Linked DNA regions of Canis lupus familiaris. The protein of the gene in region 2 interacts with the protein of the main gene of each other region in a pairwise test. Links are inferred from orthologs where the notes say so. Each region holds a gene or a part of one and is shown on either strand. Other genes may lie near its edges.

Evidence for each region.
Region 1: the proteins of CCDC116 (region 2) and BEX3 interact in binary tests that used the Homo sapiens proteins (3 or more experiments, as listed by UniProt). The two-hybrid records come from large-scale screens. The link is inferred for Canis lupus familiaris from reciprocal best matches to the Homo sapiens genes CCDC116 and BEX3.

The regions. Positions count from the first base shown.
Region 1 is NC_049260.1:77,302,370-77,306,081, reverse strand, and holds BEX3 (protein BEX3), read right to left. Parts: upstream 2,465-3,712; 5' UTR 2,112-2,464; intron 1,733-2,111; 5' UTR 1,648-1,732; intron 1,394-1,647; 5' UTR 1,288-1,393; coding exon 949-1,287; 3' UTR 700-948; downstream 1-699. UniProt on the Homo sapiens protein: May be a signaling adapter molecule involved in NGFR/p75NTR-mediated apoptosis induced by NGF. Plays a role in zinc-triggered neuronal death.
Region 2 is NC_049247.1:31,078,590-31,082,266, reverse strand, and holds the end of CCDC116 (coiled-coil domain-containing protein 116), read right to left. Parts: coding exon 3,521-3,677; intron 3,408-3,520; coding exon 2,814-3,407; coding exon of another isoform or gene 2,352-2,813; exon of another isoform or gene 2,247-2,351; intron 1,632-2,246; coding exon 912-1,631; 3' UTR 710-911; downstream 1-709.

The DNA.
Region 1 (3,712 bases), on a different chromosome or scaffold from region 2:
GAATGGTACTCACTTGGATAAATATAACTTTAAAGTGGGGAGAAAGATCTGCTCCAGACTTCTACAGGAGTCAAACCGGACAGGGTTTAGCTCACTAGGGACTCAAGAGAAATCAATGCACTTTTCTTACCTTGAGGACAGAATCAGAACCCAGAAGGGAAAGTACACCTGACACGGCAATAATCAGGGGAGAAGTACTGCAAATATCAGAGGAATGACAAGGTGGAAGCCATCTATTTTTGCCCTTTGGGCTTGTCAGCATGGTGAAAACTCCCTTTAGTCCTTCCCAAGTACCTGACAGACCTGGATAGGAGGCAGCCCAACAGTTTCACACCTCATCTATTCCACTCAGCTGCCCTGGAAGGCAAGCATTATTCCTCCTCACAGGAAAGAAGATTGACTCTTAAAAGCAATGTACCTGTAACAAACGGAGGGTTTATTCATCCAGTTAAAACTGGAAAATTCTTAAAGTTGACTCTTAAAGTTTGTTGAACCAGTATTATATACCTATACTATATTTACACTCCTTGAAAAACTGTTTTTGCTACTAAAACTTCAGATAATAAAAAGAAAAAAGTTACATAGTATTCAACTACAGAGAAACGTGACCCAATTAACACCCTGGAGCATCTGATTTCTGATTTTTTGAGGGGGGGTCATATTATACATATGCTTTTAAATGAGACAATAATAAATGTATAGATTGCTTTTTAATTGCTTTATTAACTTTACACTTTTCCATGCAATTGGGTGACTCTACTGTTGACAGAAACTTAGACTGAGTGCCAAGGCAATCCCCATTTGGAATCTGGTAATACAGAACCCACCTGACACATGGAAATTACATGCGGTTCACAGCAAATGGATCAGTAAAGGTTATCAGGAAAAGGCAAGGAAAAAAAAAAACAATGTGAGTCACAGTATTAATCTCATGGAAAATGGCAGGAGTCAAGGCATAAGGCAAAATTCATCATGATGATCATGGTGATTAGAGAGCTCCCCCATCAGGATACGCAGGCAATTCCTCAACTGCAGCTCCCTAAGTTTTCTCCTGATTTCCCTCATCTCCTCCATGAACATTTCCATATCATCCCCATCTCCACCCATCCCATCATTGACCTGCCTATTGGGGATGGCCCATCGGAAATTAGGAGCAAGTCGACGAGCCTGTCCCCGTCTATTATTTCCTGCAGGTTGGTGGCCTTCTCCCCCTCCCAAAGGGCGGTCTTCCTCTCCATTCTGCATGGGTTGCTCCATTTCTTCGTTTTCCTGGTGGATATTTGCCATGAGATTTTTTTTCCTGGTTGGTTTTCTTTGAACACAAATAAGACAAAGGCAAGGAGAGAGACTGAAAGCTTGGTGTACTGAGCAGCAGGCTCCAGAGATCTGGTACCTAACGTTTAAAAAAAAAAAAATTCCCACCTTAGGAGCTTCAGGCGTCCTCTAGGGGGCCTCCGAATCGAGCCCCTCCCTCCCGCTCTCTCCTTTACCCTCCCTCCCCCAAAGCCCACCATTTTTCCTTTCCCAGGATTCTTTCCCCAAGCTCCGCAGGCACCAAAATGGAGGTGGGGGACAGGGGATGACGTACATGGGAGGAGTCACAAACTCGGCTCTGCACCCGACCCCCACTCTGTCCCCCGCACCGACCTGGGCCTATCCTTGCTGTCTCCTCCTTCTCCCGATTCTCGCCGTGTGGGCGTCGCTGCGACAGTTGACACCTAGGCTCGCAGTCCTGCAAAGGGCCAGCGTGGAGGGAGGGGGGGTGTTGCGAAGCGTTTGGCGCCGACCTGCCACCACCTGGTTCCTTCCGGGTCCCGGGCCCCCCTGGCCGCCCCCTTAAACCCCATCTCCGGCTCTCAACCCTAGCGTCCCCCCACCCCGCCCGGAAGGTTCACTATTTTCCTGCAGGTACTCGGGGGTGATTTCCAGTTGCTCTTAGTTGCTCTGCTGCCCACCCAGCCGCCCCAGCACCCCCACCCCAGGGGGCCACTACGGATGTTCCCAAGAATGCCGGGGGTGGAGAAAGCTGCTGCGCTGATCCAATGAGCCAGCTTCGAAAGTAGGCGGACCGCTGCCGCCCTGGCCTCGCGCACCGGCCCCGGAGCCCTTACCTGCTCCGCTTTCCTCGGGCCTGACGCCAGCCCGCGGGGCGCAGGACACCGGGGAGCAGGTACCCAGACGGGAGTGACGACTGCACCGAAGGCTGCGTCGCTCTGCAGCTCCACGTCACGTGAGCGCCTCACGTCACCATGGAGCTCGCCCCCCAAATCTAGCTGCTTGTGCGGCGCGCCTACCCGCCCCCACGCCTCGCCTCACGCACAGGCGTAGGCAACCCCCTTAGCCGGTTTCTGCACTGAGCCCCAGCGCGCACCGCCGTGTCACTCAGCTTGGTCCTCTACAATTTGAGGCCCGAAAAACGCCTCACCTCCCAGCGGAGGGAGTGTAAACTTCTCAGGAAGGTAACTTCTCAGGTTACCCGGGAGGGTCTGCAATACCCTTCATCCCTCCCACTCCCGCCCCAGGCCTTGAGTTTGAGTTGTTTCGCTTTCTCTTCCTTTCTCGCTGGCCGCACCCCCTCTTTCCCTCATCCACCCTCAGGTGCGCCACCACCGTTGCCCATTGCGTCCCCTGAATTCAGATCCTTCCAGGAAATTTAGAATGAAGGCTGGGGTGGGAAGGGAGCAGGAGTCCTATTAGAGAGGCAAGGAGACAGAGTGAATTCTTCCAAAGAATTTCTCTTTCATTTCCTTTTTTAAAAAAAACCAGCATGCCTCAAAAAATTAAAAATTGCGAGATTTCACTTTTGAAAGAAATGCTTCATCTTGCGGGATGAAAAAGCCTCATTTTTAAAAATTATGCTCGTATCACACAAAATATCTTCTCTGAGTTCCACATGACATTAATATCGCTTTTGAAACACATATCTTGTTTCAAATTTCTATTTTGAAAAAAAAGAGGCATCTTTATGAACATAGTTGGTATTTTCAAAATGATCTGTAAAGTAAATCTTTAGGGAGAAGTCCAGTTGTCAGATATTGGCCTTTTAATGTAAATTTGCGATGTTTTTGATACCATAGTCTTTGAAGAAAAGGAGCCTTTTTACACCCTGCTTTCCTTTACAAACTTTCAAAAACCTCCCCTAACAAATATCTTCGTAGAATGATCACAAGTATACCATATGCAGACGTTAGTTCCAAAGCCATCTGCCTTTTGATGTAAATGTTTCAAAAAATAATAGAAATAAACAGGGTGTATATGAAGCAACTAAACTTGAGACTGAAATTCACCTGGAGTGTAAATGTTCCTGTCTCCACTTTAAAGTAACTAAACAGATTTTATCATAGTTAGAAAACAGATGTCTTTAGGAAAGCGGCATTCATAATAAAAAAAAATTTAGTAAGCGTTGGTTGTGATAAAGGAACCAGAAGAGTTATATGCACTGAAGCAAGACAGGCCAGACAAATGCTTACTGCCTCTGGTTTGGGTTCCAAACTCCTGTGTAATCTCCTACCCTGCTAAATTAGCTGGGACATTGAATAAATGAAGAATATATGCCTAGTGCATACATAGTTTGAGCTTTTTATGCTTTGAAGATATTTTGAGGTATAGCTTGTTAAAAAACAAAATTCAGCCAAGTAAATTTGAAGATTTAATTGAATTTATTAAATGATCCATGAATCAAGAAGCATCCCATCTAGCAAGTGGAGGAGAA
Region 2 (3,677 bases):
TGCCTCTCTCTCTTTCTCTCTCTGTGACTATCATAAATAAATAAAAATTTAAAAAAAGTAAAAAAAAAAAAAAAAGATGCCTAAATAGGGGCACAGAATGGCTGCCCTGGAAAGGCGGAGAGAGGGAGGGTGCTCAGCTGGCTGCACAGGATGCCCAGAAGCCCCAGGAGAAACTTGGAGAGGAGACCTGCCAATCATGGCCCCAGCGAAGTCTGCAGAGCCTTCCAGAGAGCTGTCTGGCCCAGGGGCACTGCTGAAAGGGTAGTCACATGGTCAGCCTGGGGCAGCCTCCTAGGGACCTACTTGGACCCTCCAGACTGAGGAATTGGAGCCGGGAAATACAAATTACAATGACGGGTAGTTCTGGGGGCATCAGGAAAGGGTGGATGCATGGTTCCCCGTAGGAACGTGAGGATGTGGCATGTCAAAGGGAGCAGGTTGCTGCCCTGGCAGAGGAGGAGTCCTCTGGCAGCAGGAACGATGTTGCTCAGGGGCTGTTAGGAAAAGGGACCACGAGTCCTAAGAGGCTTGAAAAGCCAGGAAGGAGCACCCTGGAACAGAGAAGAGCCACAAGCCGACTTGTGTTCAAGCAGAGCATGGGAGGTCAGGGGGTCAGGGCATGGCAGCTTTGAGGAAGGCCTGCCAAGGTGTCACTCCAGGGCGGGTGCTCAGGCCTGTGGAAGTGCAGCTGAACTCTGGACAAAAACATCTTGCTCCAGCAACACAAGCTTTATTTCTCCTGTTGGCTCCCCCGACAGGCTAGCAGAGGTCCTCGTGGACATTCAGCCCACCCTGACGGCTTGGGGCAGGAGCCGGCTGGGGGTGGGGGTGGGGGGTAGCACTCCACTGGAGCAAGAGCAGGAGCAGGGAATCAAGCGCTGGGTGCTGGGGAGCTGGGGCCTCACGGAGGGTCACTGTGACTCGTGTTCGTGGAGTCGCTGACGTCCGCCTCCACTTGAGGCTCGGGGAGAGCTCTGGGGCGTGCCCTCGTCTGGGAAGTCCTCACCCTGGTCCTCATCTTCCTCCTCATTGCTCTGACTGTCCCCGTCTACTAATTCCTGGCTCTGATTAGCGCCCACGCTCGTGGGCCCCTGCTCCTCGGCTCCAGCATCCTCCTGAGCCCAGAGCAGCCGAAGGTCCGGCAGCTCACTGTCGAGGCTGGGCTCGGCGGCCTCGGCCGGGTCGGCGCGGGGGGCGGGCTCCGGCCCCGTGGAGGGGGACTCGGTGCTGCTGTGCCCCGCCCCCTGGTGGGCGGGGCCGCGTTGGGAGCTGCGCTGGGAGGCGGAGTCATGCTGGGAGGCTTGTCGCGACAGCTGCCGGGCCCACTCGGCCTCCTCCAGCTTGCGCAGCAGGCAGTTCCAGTTGATCTTTGAGGACAGGCAGATGCGGGAGCCCTTCACCTTCTTGAAGCCCAGGAAGAGGTCCATGAGCGTCTCGGTGACGGGGAAGGAGATGAAGCCCAGCTGCTTGGAGAGGTTCTTCTCGAACTTGTACTTGTAGATGACCAGGGACACAACCTTCTCCACTAAGTAGCTGACGAGCTCCTCGTACACGGGGTTGGGGAAGTGGGACAGGGTGGACTTGGATGAGATGGAGGGTAGTGTCTTCTTCACGAACCTGTAATTAGGGCTCTGTGCAACAGCCAGGGAGGGAAAGGGAGACACGTCATGCCATTCCCGATGCCTTGGGATGCCCCTCATACCCAGAGCACCTTCCACATCACCCACACAAATGCCACGCTTGTCACACTAGGGGTATGGCCTTGCCACATCTGCTATGCTGTCTCAATCAACAGCTGAGCCCAGGTCCTGCATGTCAGCCACACCCTCACACTTACCACATGGGCCGCACACCAGCCACACCAGTCAGGCCTGTGGCAAGGCTGGTGATGTCAGTCAGGATGTTAGCCAAACTGGAGCCTGGATAACCTGGGCTCTGGTAGGTTCTCCCCTGGGTCAAGGTTCAGAGGAGGGAAGCCTGCCTGGGTCTTCATAGGTGAGACAAGGGTCAGGCAGGGACTGTGCTGGGGAACTACCAGGGTGAAGCCACCTAGGTCTTCTCCATACCCTTCCTGAGCAATTCCCTCTCAGCAGACATGCTGAAGAGTCCTGTCCTAGGTAGTAGAAGCAGAGGGAGCTGGACCTAGGATGCAGAGCCCCATTCTGACTTAGGCTGCTGTCCACAAGGAACAAGACACTGCCCACATAGAAGGGCCTCTGAGATTCACATGCAAACATTACAAAAAATACTCAGAATGAAACGTAGGCTTTATTCAATCTTTGACAACACCTGGCAGTAACTAGGCCAGGTGGTTTCCACTGTGCAGGTCAAGATAGCCATGACAGTGGCTGCTAAGGGTGGTAGCTGAAGGAGCCCTTCCCACGCAAACCCTTCCCTAACCCACCTAGCTCCACCCTTAAGGTCATCTCTGGACGCAGTGAAACAGCAGATGGGGAGATGCCTCTAACCACTGAGGAGGGAAGTGGTGAAAACAAAGGAAGGTGGTGGGAGAAGCCAGGGTAGGGGGAGGTGAGAGGAGGTATGTCCTGGATTGTGGACTGGGTCTGGCTGGAGGGCCCTTCCACCACGATCCCTGGGATAGGCAGAGGGTGGTATAGGCTCTGCCAGGGATTGGCCTTCTGGCTGGAGTTTGGGGGCCCAGAAGAAGGTATGGGTGGTCTCTGTAGTTTAGGGTCCTTGCCAGGAGCTTCCTGACTGGGATGGGGTGAGGGAACCTTGGGTTCTTCTGTGGGTGTCACCTCAACCCTTAATCTGTTGGCCACCTGGGCACTAGACAGAGGGGATCCACCTTCCTTGGATTTGGCCTGTCCTCTGCCCTTGGTGCTCTTTCTTCGAATCATCTTGGAGCTGGAGACTCTGATGGGAAGCACATTGTAAGTCTCCTCCCCATCAGTGGGTGTGGCTGGCTTGGAGTCTTGCACTGAGTCAGAATTGGGTTCTGGCTTGGAGTCTTGCACTGAGTCAGAATTGGGTTCTGTTGCAGGCTCCCATTCTGAAGGGAAGAGAGGGCAGCCATCGTGACGTCGGGCTCCACTGAGCTTGTCCACGGCCTGGCGGACCACACTCTGCAAGGCAGGGAAGAGGTGGTGCTCAGCCAGGAAGTCCAGGGTCCGATGGGGCTCACGGAATGAACAGTAGCCAGGCAGGTCAAAGGATGCTGGCTGGTTCAACAAGGACTTGATCTCCTTACAATGCTCTCGCTTGAGGAAAGTCAGTTCCCGTTCTACAGGCCCTAGCTCTGATGTTTGGGCTGTGCCAGTGCTTGAGCCCAGCAGGCCTGAGAACCAGGACAGAGGTGGCTCCTGGGTCCGCTGGCTGCTGGCCTGGCTGCCCAGTGAGTCCCACAGCAGGGAGTCTGTCTGGAAGCAGGACCGACCTATGCCTTTCTGCGGAGAAAGGGGGACTTTCAGGTGCATCCAAGAGCAGCCAAGCCAGGCCTAAGCCTGGCCCTGGGCTGGGGTCCATCCTGCCCACCCTGGGCCATGCCCCTAGATCTCACCCCTCTGTTCTCCAGCTTCAGCAGCCGTTTGAGGTTCTTCTCCAGCAAAAGTTTGTCCCTCATGGGTGGCAGTGAGCCCATGCCACGGGCTCCCAGGTCACTGTCCTGGCTGTGGGAGCCCAGCCAGCCAGCTGTGAAGCTGCTATGGGAGTCGGAC